Linked DNA regions of Saccharomyces cerevisiae S288C. The protein of the gene in region 3 purifies or fractionates together with the protein of the main gene of each other region. This does not show direct contact. Each region holds a gene or a part of one and is shown on either strand. Other genes may lie near its edges.

Region 1 (3,556 bases), on a different chromosome or scaffold from region 3:
CCCTTACTCCTATTAATCCGGTCTCCCTAATGCAAACACAGACACAAGATTGCTGTAGAAAAAATAAGTATGGCAAAAGCGGTAGTGAAATATTGTTTGACGAAATTCTATCAGCCTATGAAAACGTTTCTACAAGCGATTCTACTGCCCTAAATTCAGAAATTGACAGAATTATCGATATATGCGCTTCAAAACAAATAGCTAAAAAAAATGAGGCATTTCAGGTACCATATGTCGTCTGCCCTGACGACACAGAGACTTTGTTTTCGTCAACAACACCAAAGTTGAAACCTGTCAATTCTAACACATTAAACGATGTCATTTCTAGCCCAGAATACACCACGTCTGGATGCAGTACATACTCTGACCAATCGAATTCAGATGAGGAATTGTCCGAAGTAGAAAGTATAGTATGGAACACGAATAAGAGGACAATGAGATCATCCATTGTGTCTGAAAGCACTAGTGAGGAAGGCTATTGCACTGCTGCGGAGACTTTGCCCTCAACAGTATCAGTGGAAGATCTGGATATACATAACAAGCTTCCAAAAGTTGCACAAACATCATCGTGCAATACGCTTTTGAATAAACTCTCTATAAGAAAATTAAAAAAAGTAATTCTCGATCCGCCTAAAATAATGCATGTCATGACTTTTGACGATGACAGTGATGATGGAGATGACAACGATGACGAGGATAGGGCTTTGAATATTCTTCAAAAAAAAATTGACTGCATTGAAATAGCAAGTTGCAGCAGTAGCATTTACAGCGAATAAAAAAATTTATTCTAGGTTTCAAGTAAAATCATACGTATATAAGTAGAATAATGGCATGAGCGGTGACACATTGTGTATTTGCACCAGAGGTGGTCATCAATAGAAAAGTGTCACAATTTCAACGATAAATGGCCGCTTATGTCGCACCTTTTGTAGTATTACCCGCAAAGGATCATAATGAAGAACTACTATGGCTACATATAAACAGAGCAGTTAGATACAGTGCGTCTTATAAGGGCATTTTTGAGCATAAAGCACAACAGGTTGAACTCAAGAAAACTACATTTCACTATCAATGGCACCCACACAATTGGATATAAAAGTCAAGGCCTTGAAGAGGCTGACTAAGGAGGAAGGGTACTACCAACAAGAACTGAAAGATCAGGAAGCACATGTGGCAAAACTTAAAGAAGACAAGTCAGTTGACCCATATGACTTGAAGAAACAGGAGGAGGTCCTTGATGACACAAAAAGATTATTACCTACTTTATATGAGAAGATTAGAGAATTTAAAGAGGATTTAGAACAATTTCTAAAAACTTACCAGGGTACCGAAGATGTCAGTGATGCAAGATCCGCTATTACGTCTGCACAGGAATTACTCGATTCTAAATAATCTATAGATAACCTTTTTCTTACCTTTTCGCATTTATTTTGATGCAGGTTTTTATACTTTATTATGTACAAACCTGTTGCGGATGAATAATAAATCTCGCTAGAAAATGCACGGAATATTATATGCAAAAGTAGAAAAGTGGAAGACGGCTGTTGATACAGTGACGAGATATAAGAACATTTTACTCTATATTTAAAAAGAACTTTATTAATCTATTTAATTGAGTTAACACCTTTAATGCCATCGATATGGATTCTCGAGTTGCACTGGTACGAAAATACATAGCACCATCGGTGATAAAAAGCGATTCTATTCAATTGCACGGTTTAGTGAAGGCACCACTATTTAAAGCGTTGAATAGCCGTTACAAATTAGGTTCACTACAGATAGTACAGGATGTCGATTGGAATGCGAAGACAACACCATCCGATTCTCCAGAGCCTCTGGCCGCTACTCTAAACTCTAATCGATCCCTACCAATGACTAAGTTCCCCAAGCAGGAGATCTTGGAACAGGTAAAATTGGATACTAAGGTTGGCAAATGGAGGAAATTCATGACAGGTTGGTTTAGAATTGGATTGTATCTTTTAAAAAGCTATAAAACAGGAATTCAGAACACGTTAAAAGTATTCTGGGATACTCGAAACGAAGAGCAGAAATTCAGCATAAAAAACGGTGCATTGGCTAACTTAGTACGGGAAATAGAAATGCATGAAATCAATACAAGACTATCGTCTTCATCATTGCCTACAAGTTCTTCAGCAAAAGCCCCATTAAGGCCACTTTCAATCAATAGGAAAACACTGGTGGAACTGATCAGACGAGATCAAATCTGGAAATTACCTGTATTTTTCACCTTAGTATTCATATTTGAGGAGGTAAGTGTATTGATCTTTACCTTTTTTCCACGTGTCTGTCCGTACAATTGTTTAACTCCTGGTGGATACAAGAAGCTTTCCAACTCATATATCAAGGGAACAACAAGCACACAAGGTAACTACGGTCTGGGTCCCTTAGAGTTTACTAAGCAAGGTACAATTAAGTATGAGCCACCATATGCAGTTCCTATTGAGAATTTGTATAATTTTCTGACAAGCTTTCCTCAAAGTATGATATCAAACTGGAAACTGTATATTTATAAAAAGTTAAAATTACAGAAGCTACTTTGCAATGAGATAGAAAAAATTTACCAGTATCTGTTTATCGATGACTGGTTGCTGTTGCAGAGTATACTCAACACTGATGTTGAGAAAACTAAAATCGCGCTAAGTGATAGAGAATTGGTTAACTGTATACTTGAAAGAAAACTTTATCACATGGGCGATGACTTGAATGAGATGGTTAATGACACGTTAGGGAAAGAAATCTTACTGAAAAGATTGTTTCTTTATTGGACATTAAGATATAATGACACTATATCCTTAAACGGAAAGCATACATTCAGTGAGAAATGGGGTGTCAACAATATATCATTGTTAAAATATAATTCAGAATTGGTAGCTACGAAAGATATTCAATAGATGTAAATATTCATGACATTATCTATGCTGTACATATTGTTTAAAACAAAAACTCTTTTAAACTTTTCTAATTGCAAATTCAAACAATAATTCAGTGATGTTTCTTGCTTTTGGAGCAAAGGGCAATGTTACTCTATATTGTATGTATAATATGATAGATACTCTTCCGTATATATAGTATATAGATTTTCGTCAAGCGTTTCAATTGGAAAGTGAAAGAAAAAAATAAGAAAAAATAGAAAATACAATTAAATTAATCGAAAAAAGAAGTGAAAATAATTGAGTAGTTCGTATTAAACCTTGTAGGTCTCTAAGTGAGCATTTTCCTCCCTAACCAATGTATGGTGATGGCCAGGCGCTCTAATAACTTTATTTTTTGAATCCATGGTACAGGCAGCAATGGCGGCAAACCATTCATCATTAAAAATATCATCTAAGGTTGCTCTTTTCTTTGGATCTACTTGCAGTATACGGGACATGATAGGTCTTGAAGCATGTGGTAGTAGACGTAATAGACGGTATGGGCCATGAATAATTTTTTTATGGTGAGGTCCTCTGTGCTGTTGACTCGATTTATTATCGGAAGCGATACTATGGGCCTTGTCTTGATTTTGATGCTGGTGATGATGGTGTTGTTGTTGTTG
Region 2 (3,482 bases), on a different chromosome or scaffold from region 3:
TAGTATATTTATAATATATTAATATTTCTCCTTTCGGGGTTCCGGCTCCCGTGGCCGGGCCCCGGAACTATATAATATTTAATAATAATCAAATAAAAAATATTTTTTATAAAATAATATTAATAATATATATATATATATGAATTTATATATTAGTTAAATTAATAATATTTATATTATATTATATCATATTAAAAAAGTCCCGCTGGAGGTGAGGCGGTGACCTCGAAGGAATATAAAAATATAAATAATTACATTATTATATTATATTATATTAATATTATATTTTTTTTTTTATAAATATTAAATAAATTTATTAATTATCTTTATAAAAGGTAAATGAAAAAAGAGTATAATGATTATATTATTATTAGTTCCCGCTTCGCGGGAACCCCGTTAGGAGTTTTGAAGGAATAATATATAATAATTATATTTGTAAGAATATTATTATAATAATATAAAATATATATATATAAATTATAATATATTAATTATTGTTAATTATTAATAATATATATATTAATCATTTAGATATATAATTCTATAGCCTTAGACTCCTCATCAGTAGAAGACTACGTATAAAAATAATCAGATAACATCTAAAACATGTAGATAAATAATAGTTGTTTCATATCCAACATGATGTCCAGCTGTTAAATGATAATTTCTCATTCTTCAATAATTAACACCTAACATAGCTGCTAACATTACCATATGTAAGAAATGTAATCCTGTACCAGCATAGAATACTGAACCATAAACACCATCAGAGATAGTGAATGCAGCATTAGTATATTCAATATATTGACAAGTAACAAAAATAACAATTAATCAGAATGTAATTAATAAACCTGATAAGGCTTTATTTCTATTACCTGCGATTAAGGCATGATGACTATAAGTTACAGTAGCACCAGAAGATAATAAGATAATAGTATTTAATAAAGGTAATTCGGTAGGTTGTACAGCTTCAATACCTACGGGTGGTCAACATGCACCTAATAGTACATCAGGACTCATAGCTGAATGGAAATAAGCTCAGAATAAACCAGCAAAGATTAATACTTCAGATAATACAAACATTAAGAAACCTAAATTAATACCTTTTCTTACTGCTATAGTATGATCACCTAAATATGTAGCTTCAGCTACAATATCTCTAAATCATAAAATAGAACTTGTTAATAATACAAATAATGCTAAATATACCATATTCATATTACCAATATAACCATGCATTGTTAATGCTAGTGATAATGCTAATGATAATAATGCAAATGATACTACAATAGGTCATGGTGAAGGCATAACCATATGAAATGGATGTTGTTGATGTCTACTTCTTTCTAAATGTGTCATAAATTTATTGTTATATATATATTATATATATAATATAATTAAATAAATAAATAAAAAAAATATTAATAAAATATTATCCCTTAAACTATATAATAAAATTAAATAATAATATTAATTTAATAAATCTTTTATTTAATAATAATATAAATTATATTAAATATTTATAATAATATATTATTTATAAAATTATAAAATAAATTTATATATAATTCAATATATATATATTAATTTATATATTTAAATTAAATATAATTAAATAAATAATATAATCGAATTAATATCTCTTTCGACCGGATTATTTATTCAATTATTAATAATATAAATAATTAATTTGTATTGAATATAATTTATTTAAATATTTTATTATTATTATTATTATTATTATTAATTTATTAATATTAAAGGAAATATATTTATTATATTATATTATATATATTTTTTATTATTTATATTTATTATTAATATAAATCATTGATAATATCTTCTTTTTATTTATTTATTATTATAATTAAAAAAGAATCTTATATTAATTAATATTATTTATTTTTTTTTTATTTAATAAATAAATATTATTATATTAAGATAGATATAATATTATATCTAGATTTAGGAAATATAGGGTTCGAACCTATAATCTTTCGTGTGTAAAACGAATGCTATACCAATTAAGCTAATCTCCTTTATAAAATATATACTCCACAGATATATATCCAAAACTCTTATTAATTATTATAATTATTATTTTATTTATTTATATATATATAATTATAATAATTCATATAATTATTATAATCTTATAAATATTCCTATTGAAAATTATACTTTATAATTAAATTTATTAATAATTATTTAATTTAATATATAAAATATTTATTTATATATATATTTATATATATATATATATTTTTATAAGTAGTATATTATATTTTATATATAATAATATTTATAATATATATATTATAAATTATATATAATATATTATATATTTATTTAATAATTTTTATATAATTAATATATTATATATTTAATAAATTTTATATAATTAATAAGGTAAATATAATTTAATGGTAAAATGTATGTTTTTAGGTGCATATTATCTAAGTTCAAATCTTAGTATTTACAAAATAAAAAATTAATATAAATTTATTATAATCATTTATAAATTTATTATAATATTATTATTATATTTATTTATTATTAATAATTATTTATTATTTATTATATAATATTTTTATAATTATATATTAAATATATATAAATTTTATTATAATAAAACTCCTTCTTAAATAGGGGTTCGGTTCCCATGGGGTCCCTCACTCCTTACGGGGTTCCCGCAAAGCGGGAACTAATAATAATATATATTTTTATATATATATTAATATATATATATATTTATAACTCCTTTATTGATATTTATTCTTATTTAGAATATTTTTAATTAAATAATATAATTAAATGAATACCAAACTTATATTATATTTATATTTATATTTATATTTCTCCTACCGGGGTTCCGGCTCCCGTGGCCGGGCCCCGGAACTAAATATATAAACTTTTTTTTATAATATTATATTTATTAAAATATTAATAAATAAATAAATAAGAGATATAATATATATTTTCTTTGTATTAAATATATTATATATATATATATTAATTATTATAATATATTTATTATAAATTAATTATTAATTAATATATTATTATTATTGCCCTTAATGAGAATCGAACTACATGTAAATAAATCTTCAATTTATCGCTTTACCACTAAGCTATAAAAGCTATATATAATATAATACTTATTATTACTTATAATATAATATATATATATATTTATATAATAATACATAATATATATATATATATAAATAAAACATAATATATAATATATATTTTTATATTATTAATTAATTAATTTATTACTTATCTTATTATATATATATATAAACCTTTTATAATATATTAATATATATAAAACTTTAATATTATTAATTATTATATTTATATTTATATTTATATATATAATAAATATATATATATATTTATATAAATTATATAATAAATAATAATTATATTTTATTTATAATTAAAAATAATAATTATATAATATATTACTCCTTCGG
Region 3 (2,794 bases):
GAAGCATACAACAGCGATGAGGAAACGGGTGGGAATGACGTGGTGCTCAATGAACTACTAGAAGGAACCAGCCAACCTTCCACATCAAAAACATCTTTACCCAAATCCAAGGGGTCCTCAACGGTATCCACACCGAATCATTCACAGTCAAGTTCAAACAAGGACGGGGTACGAAACAATGGCGGCGGCAAAAATGGCGAAGATGAGGATACAGACAATTTGATGGGAACAGAAAATTCATTTTCTTTACCGCCTACGAGAAACTCTGCCGAGGAAACCACACAAACGTTTAAACAATTGTCCATTAAAGAAGATAATGACAATCACAGCAGCGATACGGACGGCATGCAAGACCAGTCAAGTAATATATAAAATTTGTAACTCTATGTATGCTTTTTATATAGAAATGGAGAAAGTGAACAATTGAAGTTATAGTATTTTCGGAGAAATGTTGCATATATACATAGGAAAACGGTTAAAAGGCCCTGCTTCTACCTTCTGTTTCCCCCTCGTTCTTTTCACCAGAACTTGTACCATTTCTTCTCAGAGGAGGCCTGAGATAAATTCTGGTTACTTTGTTCAAACTGACTCTGCTTTTCATTTTTGGCGGCCTCCCATTGCCCCGGCAGAGATGGGTCATGAGGGACATTATGGAGCATTGGTTTTTCCTTTTTCGCCACGGTTTCCTTTGCCAATTGTGCGATCTGGAAACTTTTTTGTCTCTTTAGCCTACATTGCTCCCATCCGACAATCGAGCCCAGTATCAGAGAGCTCATCGCCCAATTCGTGGCCTTAGTCGGGCTCTTATGGTATATAAATATAATAGATCCCATCAAGAACATGCTGGAAAACCCGAGCATGCCCGCGTCTCTGAAGCACGGGATTGAAGTCAGCTTCTGCAAACTAAAATCACTCCATCTGATCGAGTCCCAAGCCTCTTTCAAAGTAGCCCGTTCTTGCTTCTTGGCCAACTGAGAATTGGACAAGTCATCGGCAAACTTGGGTGGAGTGTCTTCTAAGAGGATCTTTTGACCCCGCGAGTAATTTGTCAGCACGCGATCACCATCTGCTTTACCCTGCGGTTGTTGCTGCTGCTTTTGATCTTCTGTCTGATTTGACCACGGCCACCAACGCATCTTTATATTAACTGTTGAGCTGCTCGTTACGCACTGCTGTGGACTTCACTACAATGCTTTACCGAGCAGTGGAGTTTGATATAGTGGTGGTACCCCCGACGGTGCTATAATAAGCTTGCCTGCACGGCTTACCCTACCGCTCGGAAAGGCCGCCTTCGTCGCTCATTGGTCTGCGGCCGCGGGCGCTTTTTGGTCATTGTTCATATATGAAGAAAGAGCAGGAACGGAAATTTTTCATCTTGCCTTGCCCATTGTTCTGATCCATGCGTTGTTAGAAATACAACGTTTGCATCATACCAAACTTCTCCATTCCGTCAGCTGATACTCTATTCGGTTGTGTGTTGCACCCTGCTCTGCTGTCTCTCAACCGTTCTTCCTTTACACGCCTTCCCTTCTCAGCTCGCGTTTCTTTTTTTTTTATCCCACTCTTTTCTTTTTTCTTTCCTATATATTGCCCATATAAGTTTGGTTGGAAGGAAAACTAATAGAGCTAGTTGTTGTCCCTCAATAATCATAACAGTACTTAGGTTTTTTTTTCAGTATGCAACGCTCCATTTTTGCGAGGTTCGGTAACTCCTCTGCCGCTGTTTCCACACTGAATAGGCTGTCCACGACAGCCGCACCACATGCGAAAAATGGCTATGCCACCGCTACTGGTGCTGGTGCCGCTGCTGCCACTGCCACAGCGTCATCAACACATGCAGCAGCAGCAGCAGCCGCTGCTGCCAACCATTCCACCCAGGAGTCGGGTTTCGATTACGAAGGCCTGATAGATTCCGAACTGCAGAAGAAAAGACTTGACAAATCGTACAGATATTTCAACAATATCAACCGATTGGCCAAGGAGTTCCCCCTAGCTCATCGCCAGAGAGAGGCGGACAAGGTCACCGTTTGGTGTTCCAACGACTATTTAGCACTTTCCAAGCACCCTGAGGTATTGGACGCCATGCATAAAACTATCGACAAGTATGGTTGTGGTGCCGGTGGTACAAGAAACATTGCTGGCCATAACATCCCCACTTTGAATCTGGAAGCCGAATTGGCCACTTTACACAAGAAGGAAGGTGCCTTAGTTTTTTCGTCATGTTACGTAGCCAACGATGCCGTCTTATCCCTACTGGGTCAAAAGATGAAGGACTTGGTGATTTTCTCCGACGAACTCAACCATGCGTCCATGATTGTCGGTATTAAGCATGCTAACGTAAAAAAACACATTTTCAAACATAATGACTTGAACGAATTGGAACAACTGCTCCAGTCATACCCCAAATCCGTTCCTAAACTAATTGCTTTCGAATCAGTATATTCTATGGCCGGTTCAGTGGCCGACATAGAAAAAATTTGCGACTTGGCCGACAAATACGGTGCTTTGACCTTCTTGGATGAAGTACATGCGGTCGGCCTGTACGGCCCTCACGGTGCAGGTGTTGCAGAACATTGTGATTTTGAAAGTCACCGTGCAAGTGGTATTGCTACCCCAAAGACCAATGACAAGGGCGGCGCGAAGACTGTGATGGACCGTGTCGACATGATCACCGGCACTTTAGGTAAGTCTTTCGGTAGCGTAGGTGGCTACGTCGCAGCCTCTAGGAAATTGATCGATTGGTTCAGATCGTTTGCACCTGGTTTCATTTTCACCACGACTTTACCACCTTCAG

The links.
Region 1: the proteins of COX20 (region 3) and PNT1 purify together in Saccharomyces cerevisiae (affinity purification with western blotting; 2 studies listed by BioGRID, with this or other methods). This does not show direct contact.
Region 2: the proteins of COX20 (region 3) and COX3 purify together in Saccharomyces cerevisiae (affinity purification with western blotting; 2 studies listed by BioGRID, with this or other methods). This does not show direct contact.

What each region holds. Positions count from the first base shown.
Region 1 is NC_001147.6:819,383-822,938, forward strand, and holds PNT1 (Pnt1p), read left to right. Parts: upstream 1-1,640; coding exon 1,641-2,912; downstream 2,913-3,556. Other genes in the region: DSE3 (Dse3p), read left to right, coding at 1-776; RBL2 (Rbl2p), read left to right, coding at 1,072-1,392; putative serine/threonine protein kinase HRK1, read right to left, coding at 3,206-3,556. UniProt on the Saccharomyces cerevisiae protein: Probably involved in mitochondrial export. Confers resistance to the anti-pneumocystis carinii drug pentamidine. May act by the removal of pentamidine, or its damage targets, from the matrix by an active-transport mechanism.
Region 2 is NC_001224.1:77,090-80,571, reverse strand, and holds COX3 (cytochrome c oxidase subunit 3), read right to left. Parts: upstream 1,360-3,482; coding exon 550-1,359; downstream 1-549. UniProt on the Saccharomyces cerevisiae protein: Component of the cytochrome c oxidase, the last enzyme in the mitochondrial electron transport chain which drives oxidative phosphorylation.
Region 3 is NC_001136.10:925,775-928,568, forward strand, and holds COX20 (Cox20p), read right to left. Parts: upstream 1,137-2,794; coding exon 519-1,136; downstream 1-518. Other genes in the region: IVY1 (Ivy1p), read left to right, coding at 1-372; HEM1 (5-aminolevulinate synthase), read left to right, coding at 1,678-2,794. UniProt on the Saccharomyces cerevisiae protein: Involved in the assembly of the cytochrome oxidase complex. Required for the maturation and subsequent assembly of the mitochondrially encoded COX2, the precursor of subunit 2 of cytochrome oxidase.